3 linked regions of the Ovis aries genome follow. The protein of the gene in region 2 interacts with the protein of the main gene of each other region in a pairwise test. Links are inferred from orthologs where the notes say so. Each region holds a gene or a part of one and is shown on either strand. Other genes may lie near its edges.

The links.
Region 1: the proteins of TRIM27 (region 2) and PUS7L interact in binary tests that used the Homo sapiens proteins (3 or more experiments, as listed by UniProt). The two-hybrid records come from large-scale screens. The link is inferred for Ovis aries from reciprocal best matches to the Homo sapiens genes TRIM27 and PUS7L.
Region 3: the proteins of TRIM27 (region 2) and TBC1D22B interact in binary tests that used the Homo sapiens proteins (3 or more experiments, as listed by UniProt). The link is inferred for Ovis aries from reciprocal best matches to the Homo sapiens genes TRIM27 and TBC1D22B.

Annotation. Positions count from the first base shown.
Region 1 is NC_056056.1:142,993,923-142,998,259, reverse strand, and holds the start of PUS7L (pseudouridylate synthase PUS7L), read right to left. Parts: upstream 2,827-4,337; 5' UTR 2,790-2,826; exon of another isoform or gene 783-2,789; intron 1-782. UniProt on the Homo sapiens protein: Pseudouridine synthase that catalyzes pseudouridylation of mRNAs.
Region 2 is NC_056073.1:29,121,630-29,125,275, reverse strand, and holds part of TRIM27 (zinc finger protein RFP), read right to left. Parts: intron 2,960-3,646; coding exon 2,729-2,959; intron 1-2,728. UniProt on the Homo sapiens protein: E3 ubiquitin-protein ligase that mediates ubiquitination of various substrates and thereby plays a role in diffent processes including proliferation, innate immunity, apoptosis, immune response or autophagy.
Region 3 is NC_056073.1:11,213,375-11,217,591, forward strand, and holds the start of TBC1D22B (TBC1 domain family member 22B), read left to right. Parts: upstream 1-1,391; 5' UTR 1,392-1,414; coding exon of another isoform or gene 1,415-1,470; 5' UTR 1,471-1,567; coding exon 1,568-1,776; intron 1,777-4,217. UniProt on the Homo sapiens protein: May act as a GTPase-activating protein for Rab family protein(s).

The DNA.
Region 1 (4,337 bases), on a different chromosome or scaffold from region 2:
GATAGGGGTAGGGTAAAGGCTGAGGGGAAGACAGGAAAAAAACAGTCCACAATGACATATAATGAAGTACTAAAAACAATTTGCAGGATGTCCATGGTAGTCCAGTGGTTAAGACTCCAAGCTTCCAATGCAGGGGGTGCAGGCTTGAGCCCTGGTCAGGGCACTAAGATCTGCTGGGCATGATTCCAAGGCGCATGGCCAAAGAAATTAATTAAATAAAACCAACATGCAATGTGATTAGGCTTCAAGGAAGGCTTATGTTAACCTTGGACCTTAAACCTTCATGAAAGCTCAGATACAAACTTTTTCAGCTGACCCATAAGAAAAGCACAACCATCTCTCTCTGGCATCAGAGAGAAGACACATTTACAGAGCTTCTTGAAGCAACCTTCACTCACTCTTCACACAATCCATGGCTACCAAGTGGAGTTTTAGGAGAGATAAAATGCCCAAGGAACTGGTACTGCCCAAATCTTTGTGTTCATCATGCTCTCCAGGTAATACATCATCTGGACCTTCATCCCATTTCTACCGTGTATCTATTCATCTGAACCAATTTAGAAAACCACTTCCACTCCATCCTTTCTGTAATGTGGAACTCACAGAAATTTCCTAATATTCTACTGTCCTAGGAAATAAATAGGATATATTTATTTTTCCTCATTCCTTAATTTCCTGCACAGACTCCTCAGTTTCTTGCCTGAACTGAAACCTGGCTATTTCCCTTGGGCTGCTTCTTCTGTAGTCCTCCTATGTGACAGCTATTTTCCTTTCATACCCACCTGGGGACCTGGAGGTTGTAAATATTTTCCGTGTTTGCCACTGCTGCTTCCAAACCACTTCTTCTTCCTCTACCTCCTCAAATCCCATTTCCTTTGAAGTTCATGCCATCAGGCTGTACTATTTGCTGCCACCCTCTCTCTGGTCTCAGGACAATTCTTCTTCACTCACTAATGACTTTAATACCTAGCTTAAAATATACTATCCAGCCTGACCTCCACAACCATCCGTATGGATGATTCATTTAACATCACAGTCCTTCAGTTCCTTAATCTCAACCTCAAACCTTCTACTTTATCTTGGTCTTAGCTTTGATTTTCTCGTCACCAAAAGTTGCATCACCTTTAAGCATCTGGCTCTCTGATTAGCCCTAACTTTCATCACCTCTATTTTAATACGTTCATTCCAGAAATTCTTATACACTATGAAGGCCTCTAATCTCTGCTTCTATTACTAATCCACCATAGTCAATTTTCCACATAGTAGCCAGAATGATGATTTAAAAAGGAAAATTAAATCATAGCACAACCCTATTTAAACCCTCTAATCACATTTATAATAAAATCCAAATTACCTACCCTGGCTTCCAAAGACTTCTAAGATTCTGAACTCTGTTCTCCAAATTTGTCCTGTACCCTTTCCCCATTATCCACTATACTTCAGCTACACTGGCCTTCTTCAGTTCCTTTATGCCAGCTGTTCCTGTTGATTAAATCAGCCTCTCTTCAATTATATCCTTAAAGAGATCTTCCTTGACCAATAATCGGAAGAAACCAGCAAGTCACTATTTTTCATAAAATCTTATTTAATTTTCTGCATATTTCTATTTAATCATTTTACTTCACTATTTACTAAATACCTATCTCAACTAGAATGTTTGCTCCATGAAAGAATCTGTCTGCCTTATTCATTGATTATCTCACAATTAGAATAGAATCAAGCACATAGCAGATGCACAATCAATACTGATTATTGAATAAATACAATGACTAGTACAAAATAAGAGCAGTAAGAGTGAAGAGGAAGAAAGACAGGGGTCACTTTTGCCTAGAATAATCAGTCAAGCATAATGCAAGAAGTGGCCACATTTTCAAAACACTTCAGGAGACAGAAATGAGGCAAAGGCATAAACAAACTATGCAACGTGTTAAGAAAAAACTGAACAGCCCAGATACAGAGCAGTAGGAGAAAGTGTTTTCTAGCACAGTTCTGGAAAATATGGCCGGATTAGTGCCAAACTAGGTAAAACACTTAATGCCCTGTCAGGGGCTTAGAATCCATTGAGTGGTTAATCGATGGCCACTGGAGGTGTCTGAGCAGGAAAATAACACAATCCTAAAAGATGTTTTAGTAAGATGACTGATAGTACTAGGCAGGATGAATCTGTTGAACAGTTAGAGAAGATCAAAAGCAACAAGATGTGATCAAGAGCTCAGCTGTAGGAACAAGATAGGAAAACATTCTAAGCTAGTGGCATAGGAGAACAATTTGAGAATACAACGATGAGGGAATTACGGCCAAGCATCCTAGTAAGAGTGGAACCGTGCTGAAGGGCAGCCAAGGAACCCACACAGAGTCGAGTTTCCATGCCACAGATGTGTCGATAAGCCTGCCGGGCGGACATGGAGAGGGCAGTTTGGCTGACCCAAGGCTTGGGAATTTGGGTTGTGGCTAAGGGCAGAGTCTAGCAGGATGTTAAAAAAGGACAGTAGCTCCTCCTGTTCCTTCCACCGCCAACGCTCCACCTAATTCACTCTTACTTCCTACTTCTGCCACCAACCAGCAGGACTGACTCCTGCAGCTTAGACTTCAGGCGCTTTCCAAAGCACCCCCGACACAGCCATTGGCTCCACCGGCGTCTTCTCCACCCACATCCCCGCCTAACTCAAGGCGCGATACTAGCTCACATCGCGCTCCTCTTGGGGACAGAGCGTCAGGGTCTCAATGCCGATACTGTCATCGCCCCCTGCACAAGCCCACGTGGCGCCAAGAAGCTCAGCCCAGTCTACCTCAAGTCCAGCTGAAGGGTTTCCTCCGCACCTCGCCGTGCGCATGCCCGGAAGCCATAAACTAGCTAGGCTCCGACAGAAGAGTATTTAAAGGGACAGGCTCCTACTTAAAGAAACGCCTCTCTGGAATTTTTGACTCAGTGAAGCGGCGAGGGGGAAGCGCAAAGAGGAAGGGGGCGGAGAGGGGCGGGGGCGGGACCTGACGGATTGGGCACGCCCCGGCCCTTCGTAGTGCCTGGGTCCTGAGGTCGCTGGCTCAGCCCTGCGGCGCCCCGTGCGCCCCTGCGCCCCGCGCCCGGGCAGGTAAGGGGTTCCGGACTTGCGCGCCACCTTCTCCGCGAAGTGTCCGAGGTCTGCGCCCTGGCCTCAGGGTTGTGGAGGGACTGCTCGGAAGGAAAATCCCTTCAGCGCACGTGAGAAAAGTTAGAGGGGAAGTAGGTTGCGTGGGCAGCGCCTGCTCCAGGGTAAAGATTTGGGTGGGTCCCTAGGGATTGGAAAATTGGTGGGTCCTCCATTGGAGGACCGTGGGGCGAAGAGAAGCGTCACTCGGTGGTCGGACCCCGCCTCGAGTTTCTCAACTCCCGAGCTATGTGTTCCGAGAACCCTGTTTACGAAATGAAATCTCTTTTCCTCAGAACCAGGAAGTAGGACCAGCACCCAACAAAGATGCTGACCGCGTGGAAAGCATTCTAAACCCCCCCCCCCAAAATTCTAATTAGCTAGTTTCTCAGGCTTCCAGGAAATTAGAAAGTGGAGCGGCATTGTCAGTACGTTATCAGATGGGGAAAGGGTACCGACAGCCTGGAAACGAGAGGGAGCCAAGGGATGAAAAGCAACCTCAGAAAGCATTTTAGCCATTTAGGATGGGATGCTGGGGAAGATTGAAGGCAAAAGAAGGGGTGGCAGAGGAACAGATGATTGGATAGCATCACCGACTCACTGGACATGAATTTGAGCAAATTCCCAGAGATAGTGGAGGATAGAGGAGCCTGGGGGGCTATTTGGGGTCGCAAAGAGTAGGACGGGACTTAGCAACTGAACAAGTGCCTCAAAAACGTCTCTGCCTTAAGAGCTGAGAGCAGAGGATATTCAGATTTGCCTTTTCCCTTTCTGAGGGTAATCCTTGACGAGACCTGTCAGAAAGTTAAGATTTCTTTTTACTTTTGTTTGCGTGCTAAACGTTCATTTGACGTTTGCTTACCCCTGTGCAAACAGAAATCCTGAACTTCCAGGCTAAACATGCTCCTTTCACAGTCTTCTCCATCTTATTGTAAAGGTCAGGAAGGGGGCGGAGAGGGCCGGAACCACGGGCGTCTTCTCCACCCCCATCCCCGCCTAACTCAAGGCGCGATACTAACATACATCGCGCTCCTCTTGGGTACAGACGGTCAGGGCCCTTTCACAGTCTTCTCCATCTTATTGTAAAGGTCAGGAAGCTTGTTCAAGCCAGAAACCTTGGTGCCAACTTGTCACTCTTCATAGCAGCATACAGGATTCTGTGTGATTTCTGAGGTTTCTACCTCAGAAAATATCCATCATCTTAGGAAT
Region 2 (3,646 bases):
AATCTGTCACTTTTTTCCTATCTCTTCTCATCTCATTCTCCAAATTATTATCTGGTTTATCATTCCAGTGTTTACCTTGCAAATACCTACAGATACATGTATTTTCTAATTATCTCTTCTTTCTTACACAAAAAGCATAATCTATATTTTGCACTTTGATTTTTTTCACTTCCCAATACATTATAGAAACTCCTCTTTATCAGTTATATCATAGGTATCTTCCTTTTTCTTTTTTTATAGTTGCATAACATTCCTCTGTGTCCATACGTTAAAATACAGTTAGACAACAGTGGCCATCTTGCCCTGTTCCTGACCTTAGTGGGAATGTTCTCCTTCTCCACGTTAAGATTCAGTTTACTTTTCAAATGACTTCTACCATGACCACTCTCCCCCATGGAGTCCACAACTTGCCCTCTTCTTTCTCTACTTTTCTTTATCATCCAGTTTTGATTTCATGGTCCATGTGTTCAGAAATATTCTCACAAATACCTTAAAAAAATAAGCAAACCCATGGTTGCCACTGGGTAGAATGGGATGAGGAGTGACTGTTTAATGGGTACAAGGTCTCCTTCTGAGATGATGAATGTGTTCTGGAACTATGCAGCTATGATGGTTGGATAACATTACGTTTACTAAATGTACCAAGTTGTACACTTTGAAATGGTTAAAACAGTTAATTTATGTTATGTATATTTTATCCTAATCAAAAAGCCAGAACAGGGGGAGTTCCCTGACCGGTTCAGTGGTTAGGATTTTGTGCTTTCACTGCCATGGGCCCAGGTTCAATCCCTGGTCAAGGAACTAAGATCCTACAAATAGTGCGGCAAGGCCAAAAACAAACAAACAAAAACCCTCACATCTTGCAAAGTCCTAACCCTGGATGACCCCAACTACCAGCTTTCCCTAGGCCTGGAACCAGAACAGTCACAATCATAGAAAGCAAAGCCGGGACGGGAAAAAGTCACACACCTGGACAGACAAATTCTGATATAAACTGACGTTCACTGACCAAATAACTCGACTATGTCTTGCGAACCAATTTGCTTTCCCATACTCTGAAACAATAATTCCAGAACTTTCCCACAATCCTCAAACTCATTATTTTCTCTAACCCCTGCACAATGGCAGCCAAAGAGGATAGAAGCCAAGACGTTTTTGCTACCAGTCCTCACAACCTGCTGCATCTACCTGTCCCCACCCTCCTTTCTTCTTATACAACAGAGGATATTTCAAAGCTAAGTCCCTCCTACATGCTTCAGTTACCCTTCCTTCTGCCTTCTCAGAAACAGCACATCAGAGATGAGTTCATCCTTAGAGCTTCAGTAAATTTTCTTCACCTGAATCTTTACAACAGATGCTCCTCTCCACATTTTTTTTTAAAGATATCTTTAACTGGTTTCTTTAAGCATCCTCTTCCCATAAAGCCCCACAATTCTACCTCATCTCCAAGTATTTTCTTTTTATCTCTTCCTCAGCCTTATTTATTGAAATAGTCATTTACTCTCGCAGCTTCCATTCACTCGGTCAATACAACTTCTCCTCACGTGGTTCCTGCCCAGACTGCTCCACTCGGGCAGCTCTACAAAAGTTTATCAAGGATGGTCATGTTTTAAACCAAATGGCTCTCAGCCTTCATATTATTTCACCTCAACTGCATTAGACTCTGTTGTCCACTGCCTCCTTCCAGAAACATTCTTCCTCCCTGATCACATATTGCCTCTCTGGTAAACTATTCCCCCTGCAAGCTCTTCCTTCTCTAACAATTAAATATTGGTGTTCATTAAGCTCAAGATTAAGCCTTCTCTTTTTAATGTGAAGTAAGAGTTGTTGAACTTTTTCTAAGAAAAAGGCCATAGAGTCTCTGGCACAACTACTCAACTCTGGTGCAACAGAGAATACAAAACAAATAAATGGGCTACGTTCTAATAATAGTGTATGGACAATGAAGCTTGAATTTTATGCAATTTCACATATCACAAAATAACAAACATTCTTCTGATTTTTCTTCCCCAACTATTCAAAACTAAAAAGCACAATGAGCTCGCAGGACACACAAACACAGGTGGTGGCCCATAGTTTCTTGACCCTAAACCCATCAGCCCTTTTTTAATGGCAACACTGATGATAACTTGTTTGTTCACTTCTTTATCATATGATCTTGACATCAGAATTTAAATTTCAGGAGAGCTTATTTATCCACTTAATTCCAGTGCTTGACCCAGAACAGAAAATTCATACGCACTGAATGAACAAACAACAGACAAACAATCAGCTCATTTCCTGTGGTCTTGCTGAGCTGGGTCTACTGCAGCTTTATCACTCATACAACCAAGATTAAATCCCAAGACTGCTTGGGCTGACCACTTGTTATTTTGTGGTTGTCATAGTGCGCACATACATGTTACAATTATAGGATACTGGGGTGAGGAGAATCTTTAAATGACATGTGGGCCAAATTCCTCATTACATGAGTAACTGAGTTCACTGAGGCCCAGAGAGGTCAAGAGCCTTGCCTGTGATCAGACCACTTATCAGTGCAGAACAGGCTTGAGCAGGACAGGTCTTCCTTTTGACCTTTCCACGACACGGTGCAACTGACTGACCCAAGCTGTGCCAACCAGGGCCTCTACTGTACATTTCCCTTCTAACATGCCCTTGCTACAATCAGAGTTTCAACAAGGGAGTAGGGGGCCCTGGATACTGCTTGGCAGAGGACTTTCAGTCTTACCTGCAGGAGCTCCCTGGTGGGTTGCTGCTGCTTCTCTTCCAGCTGGGCAATCAGGTTGCTGAGGTGGGAGATGTTGCAAGAGAACTGAGTGATGGCACCATTGATACTGTTGTAAATGGCCAAGTCTAGCTCCTCGAGACGGGCCAAAAGGCGATACTCATGCTCCTTCAAGGAGTGATACAGCTGCTCAAACTCCCAAACAATCTTCTCCCTCTCCATCTGGGTCAGGCTCTGTGTAGACCACAGGGAAGGGCAGTGAAGAGAGGAAAGGCTGCTTCTAGAGCCCTTCACATTTCTCCCCTGTCTATCTACCCCAAGACCTCATTATTTCATCCCAGTATACAAGCATCTTGTTCACTCACTTATTCTTTTCCAATGTTTACTGACTGGATATACAATGGCAGAGAACTGAATTACCCCAGTGATAACCAAGGCAGTCTGAAAAAACAAACAAAAAAAACCCACAGTCTCTGCTCTCAAGGAACTCAGTCAAGTGAGAGTCAGGTTCATGTGATACATGTCATCATGGCTAGTTAAGCACAACGAGGGTGACAGCATTCAGCAGAAGCTGATACAGTTCTCAGAAGCAGTGTTCACAAAGAGTCTTGAAGGATGACTAGAGGTTCACTTTATGGTCAAAGAACAGGAGAGCTTTCCAGGCAGAAGAAATGCCATGGACCAAAGAGTGGAAAGGCAAATGATGGAGTCTGGCTGGAGCACATGAGTGCTTGTGAAGATGGCAGATAAAGTAAGAGATGAGAAGCCTGGTAGGACTTCACTGCAAGTGGGAGCCATGAAAGACTGTCAGAGAAGCCACATGATCAGATGGGTGCCCTGTGGAGGATGGTTTGGAACATACAAGCAAAACTTCTACAACAATCCTCACATAATAACCTTGATTAGTTTCCTTAAACCTTT
Region 3 (4,217 bases), about 18 Mb from region 2:
TTTTCATGCAATCTCATGATTGTGAAATTAGGGGACAAAAACAACTTAAAAATGGGGGTAATGTCTATGTAGGAAGACGCCATTAGCAGGCCTATTTAAAAAGGTCCTTTAGAGGGAAGTGGGAGAGGGGTTCAGGATGGGGAACACACGTACAACCATTGCGGATCCATGTCAATGTATGGCAAAACCACTACAATATTGTAATTAGCCTCCAATTAAAATACATAAATTTATATTAAAAAAAAAAAGATCCTTTAGACCTTCCAATATGTGGAAGGACTGTGATAGCAATAACCAGGAGTGACGGGTGAGGAACAATCAGCCCACTTCAAGAGTCCTTTGATGGGATAGAAATTATGTGGACTAGGGTCTGCTTCCTGCCCTCTCCCGGCCCCATCACTGTGGTACACAAGCACAGAAACTCAAAAAGGGCAAAAAACACCGACAAGACTTTCAAAGGATTCAAAATGCTAATATTAGATCTCATTCTGAGTCAAAACTAGATCGAAAATAAAATCAAGGGTGAAGATTTATAGTAGATTAATAAGGGATTAAAGATGTCCATTGGCGGTCTGAATTGGACAGATAAAAGAAGGTTATTTCCTGAACAGTTTGTCCGCATCTAGGTTCTCTTGGTCAGAAAGTGACGGTTATTGGTTGAAACAGAGATTTGATCATCTGAATTTCAAGCATGGCACAAGTCCTTTCACGGGGATCAATTATCTGAGGAGAGAGAGGCTCTTATGAACCAACCGTTAGTCACGTGTTGTGTTGAACAGTTAGCAACTCTGGACCGTCCGGTCAGTTATTGATTTTCCTCCACCGATTGAAAAAATCAGATTCCGAACGGAAAGAGGGGAGTGGGAAGGATAATAACCAGAGTGTCATTGAATTGGGAGATGTTAAAAATGGGCAGCAACCAATACATGGGCCCTTATATTTAGGTCAAAGATTTATATACCTAAGTATATATGCTCTTTTCAAAAAATATTTGACTCAATAACCTCATTACCCCCAAAGAAAACAGCACCTTCTCCTTCTTCCCAGAGGTCCCTTTCTTTACCTGCTTCTTCCCCGGCCCAGGAGAAAGAACTTTCAGCCCCGCCTCCCACCTCGTCCAAGCTCCGCCTTCTCGGTTCACCTGTGTGCCCAGCCCCTGACGTCACTGTTCGGCTTCAGCGGCCTGCAGGATTCTGGCTCCCGATTGGTCCGTCTCCCACAGCCTGCGCAGCCCACCAATGGCAGCGGCGCTGGGTTGGGGGGTGCCCACATCCAAGATGGCGCCCCCGGGAGCTGGGAGCGGGTGACCGGCAGCGGGGAAGCGGCCTGAGCTGGCCCTGCGATTGCGGGGTCCTGGGGGCATTTCGCTGGGTAGCCCCTGGCCCGCCTACAAAGCCTTCCCCGGGCCGGAGCAATGGCCGCCGAGAATAGCAAGCAGTTTTGGAAGAGGAGCGCCAAGCTGCCGGGGAGGTGAGCCCAGGACGCTGAGAGGAAGAGGAGATTGGATCAAACCCTTCTAAATCCTAAGCCCTAATTCCCGCGGGCCTGGGGCGCCAGCGATCCGAGAATGCTGGTTTGGAGAACCTGGGCGTGGGGCGGGGGGGAGCTGGGACTGCTTGGTGGCGGCAGGACGGCTGTCAGGCAAAGGAGTGGGCGGCGAGCTTTGGAGATGGTTGGGTGTGGGACCAGACCCGGGTCCGGGGGCGTCGGGCTCTTGAGGGGCTTCCCTCAGCCGGGAGGTGGCCGGAGTCCGCGCATAGGGGACAGTGGAGTTGAGTGAGTAATCAGTGTCGGTTCTGGGTTTGGAAGGCTGTCCTCAGAGCTGCTTCTCACTTTAAGAAGAACTCCTACTTGAGAGGGCAGGGGTCTTCACCACGCACAGGTGGTTGTTTGCACGAGGATGGCCCCTTCACTTGCCCCTCGCCCCTGCACGTACGAATATTTCTCCTGGACTCCTAGAGAGGTTCTGGTGGGAGCTTGAGACCGTCTGCCGGGGGGCGGGGTGGAGGGGGCGGGGGGATAAGAAAAGTGAGGGAAATTCTTCAACTCGACCTCACTTTAAGATATCTTGAGTTGGTCCTTTCCCATTAGGAACTATTACAGGATAACTTAGGATCGAGATGATTTCTTTAGCATTTTCTAAGGATTTGTCATACCCCAGTGGCCTCTTCTCCTCTGCCTGGTAATGCTTCTTGTGCAAATGCATTAAATTCTTTCATTCTAGAGTTGTTTAGGTGGAGAACAGATTATTTCTAAGATAATCTCCACTCCCGTCCCACCCCTTTTTGGTATACGTTGAGACTCTTTAACAATTGTCCATTCGTCAGTCTACTATTGGTTTATAGTTTCAATTTGTTTGGGGGTAGTGCTGAGAAGTAAAAGGAGGAGTGTATGTTTCAATCTTAAATTTAAGATTTCAGCCAGCCACAGTCTGTTTGACGATGAAATTCATGATTGATTGTACCCCATGTGCTACCCTTCCTGGCTGACTGATAAAGGGATAACCCTTTAAACCTGTAGCTTTTTTGGTTTGTTTTATCAATAGCAAGAGAGAAATCAGGGTCAGTGGTGGCTATATGGTGGACTTATTTATTGATAGGATCCTGTTAGACAGTCAGGGATCAGTTTTTCTTAATATAGTAAAAAAAAATAGGGTAAGGGAATTCAGAAATAACTTCAGATTGAAATGTTGTGGAATAACAGTGTTAATGCTAAAGACTTTTATGTTTTTAGATAGGCACTACTTCCTGCCTACTGATTCCTTTTCCTTCCTGGTCTAGGGAGCTCTCCAGTCTTGCTAACTGCTGTTCTCCGGGGTTTTCCATGGTGAGATCATTAAATTTTGACATCAAAAGTTAGATCTATAGGAAAACTGTTAAATCAGGAAGCAGTATTTGATATGTGGGATATGGCATAATCTTTTTTGTGCCTACCAACTGCTGATTGTTACTAACAGTTTTTATTTTCTGTGTTTCCTCTTTTGGATTGTAGAAGCAGTCATCTTTTTTGCAGAGCACTATTTTTTGTGAGATAGGAAGAGGGATCTTTTCAGTTTCTTTAAGTTTGTGGCTTCCTTTTTCATTTTGAAGAGGAATATGAAAGGATAGAGGAGAGAACATTTGAGTTCTGAAAGCTTTGGATTATTATTGGAGTGTTATCTGTGTGATCAAGGAGAATTAATCTCTTTAAGCCTCAGTTTCCTTATCTGTGAAAAGAGGATAAAAATACTTTCTTCAAGATTCCATTGTGGATTGAATTAAACATCCTATTTGTAAAGCACCTCTTGGGGCTGGTGCATGGGGATGACCCAGAGAGATGTTATGGAGAGGGAGGTGGGAGGGGGGTTCATGTTTGGGAACACATGTAAGAATTAAAGATTTTAAAATTAAAAAAAAAATAAAATAAAACAATGTTTATTTATAGTTGCTCAATAAATACTAAGTATTTCTGTTATTATTAGAGAAAGTATACATTTAAAAGAATACTTCTCTGATCCTTATTCCAATAAGAGGTATTTATGTTCATTATTTATCTTAAGACATTAAAGTGTTGCCATGATTCATAATGGTGTTTAGTACCTTGCTTGTTGAAGAGAAATATTGTTCAACTATGCACTTTTAGCAAGAAGCCCTAGGAGCCCTTGGTTATGGGAGAAAATCAAAATTCTTTTAGAGAGAAAGTGCTTTGATGTAAGGAGAATATTAGTACATTTTCTCAAGAATAGAACTTTTGCATTTGTATTCTTTCGGGTATAGTGAAGAAAAACTGTCTGGGTGGAGAAATGACACAGATAACTGTCTAGGTCCATGGCAACTTAGAAGTGAGACTAGCTTCCCCTTTGCAAATTGAAAGGTAAAAATTCAAAACGATAGCAGATGACTTTCAGTTTCTTTGATCATGATCCAGCAACCTTAATTACAGCAAATAGGAATTTTATGTAGTAAAATAGCCTCAAGTTCAAAACGAATTAAACATCCTTCTGTAAAATAACAGCTTTATTGAGATAATTCACATATCATAAAAATTCACCCTTTTGAAGTGTATAATTTGGTGGTATTTAGTACATTCATTTAGAGTATAAATGGTTTTGTGCAACCATCAACACTAATTTCAGAGTATTTTCATCACCCCAAAAGAAACCTCATAGCCATTAGTAGTCACTCCTCCTCCCCACCTCTCTCTGGCCCTTGGCAACCACTGATCTTTTTGTTTATATG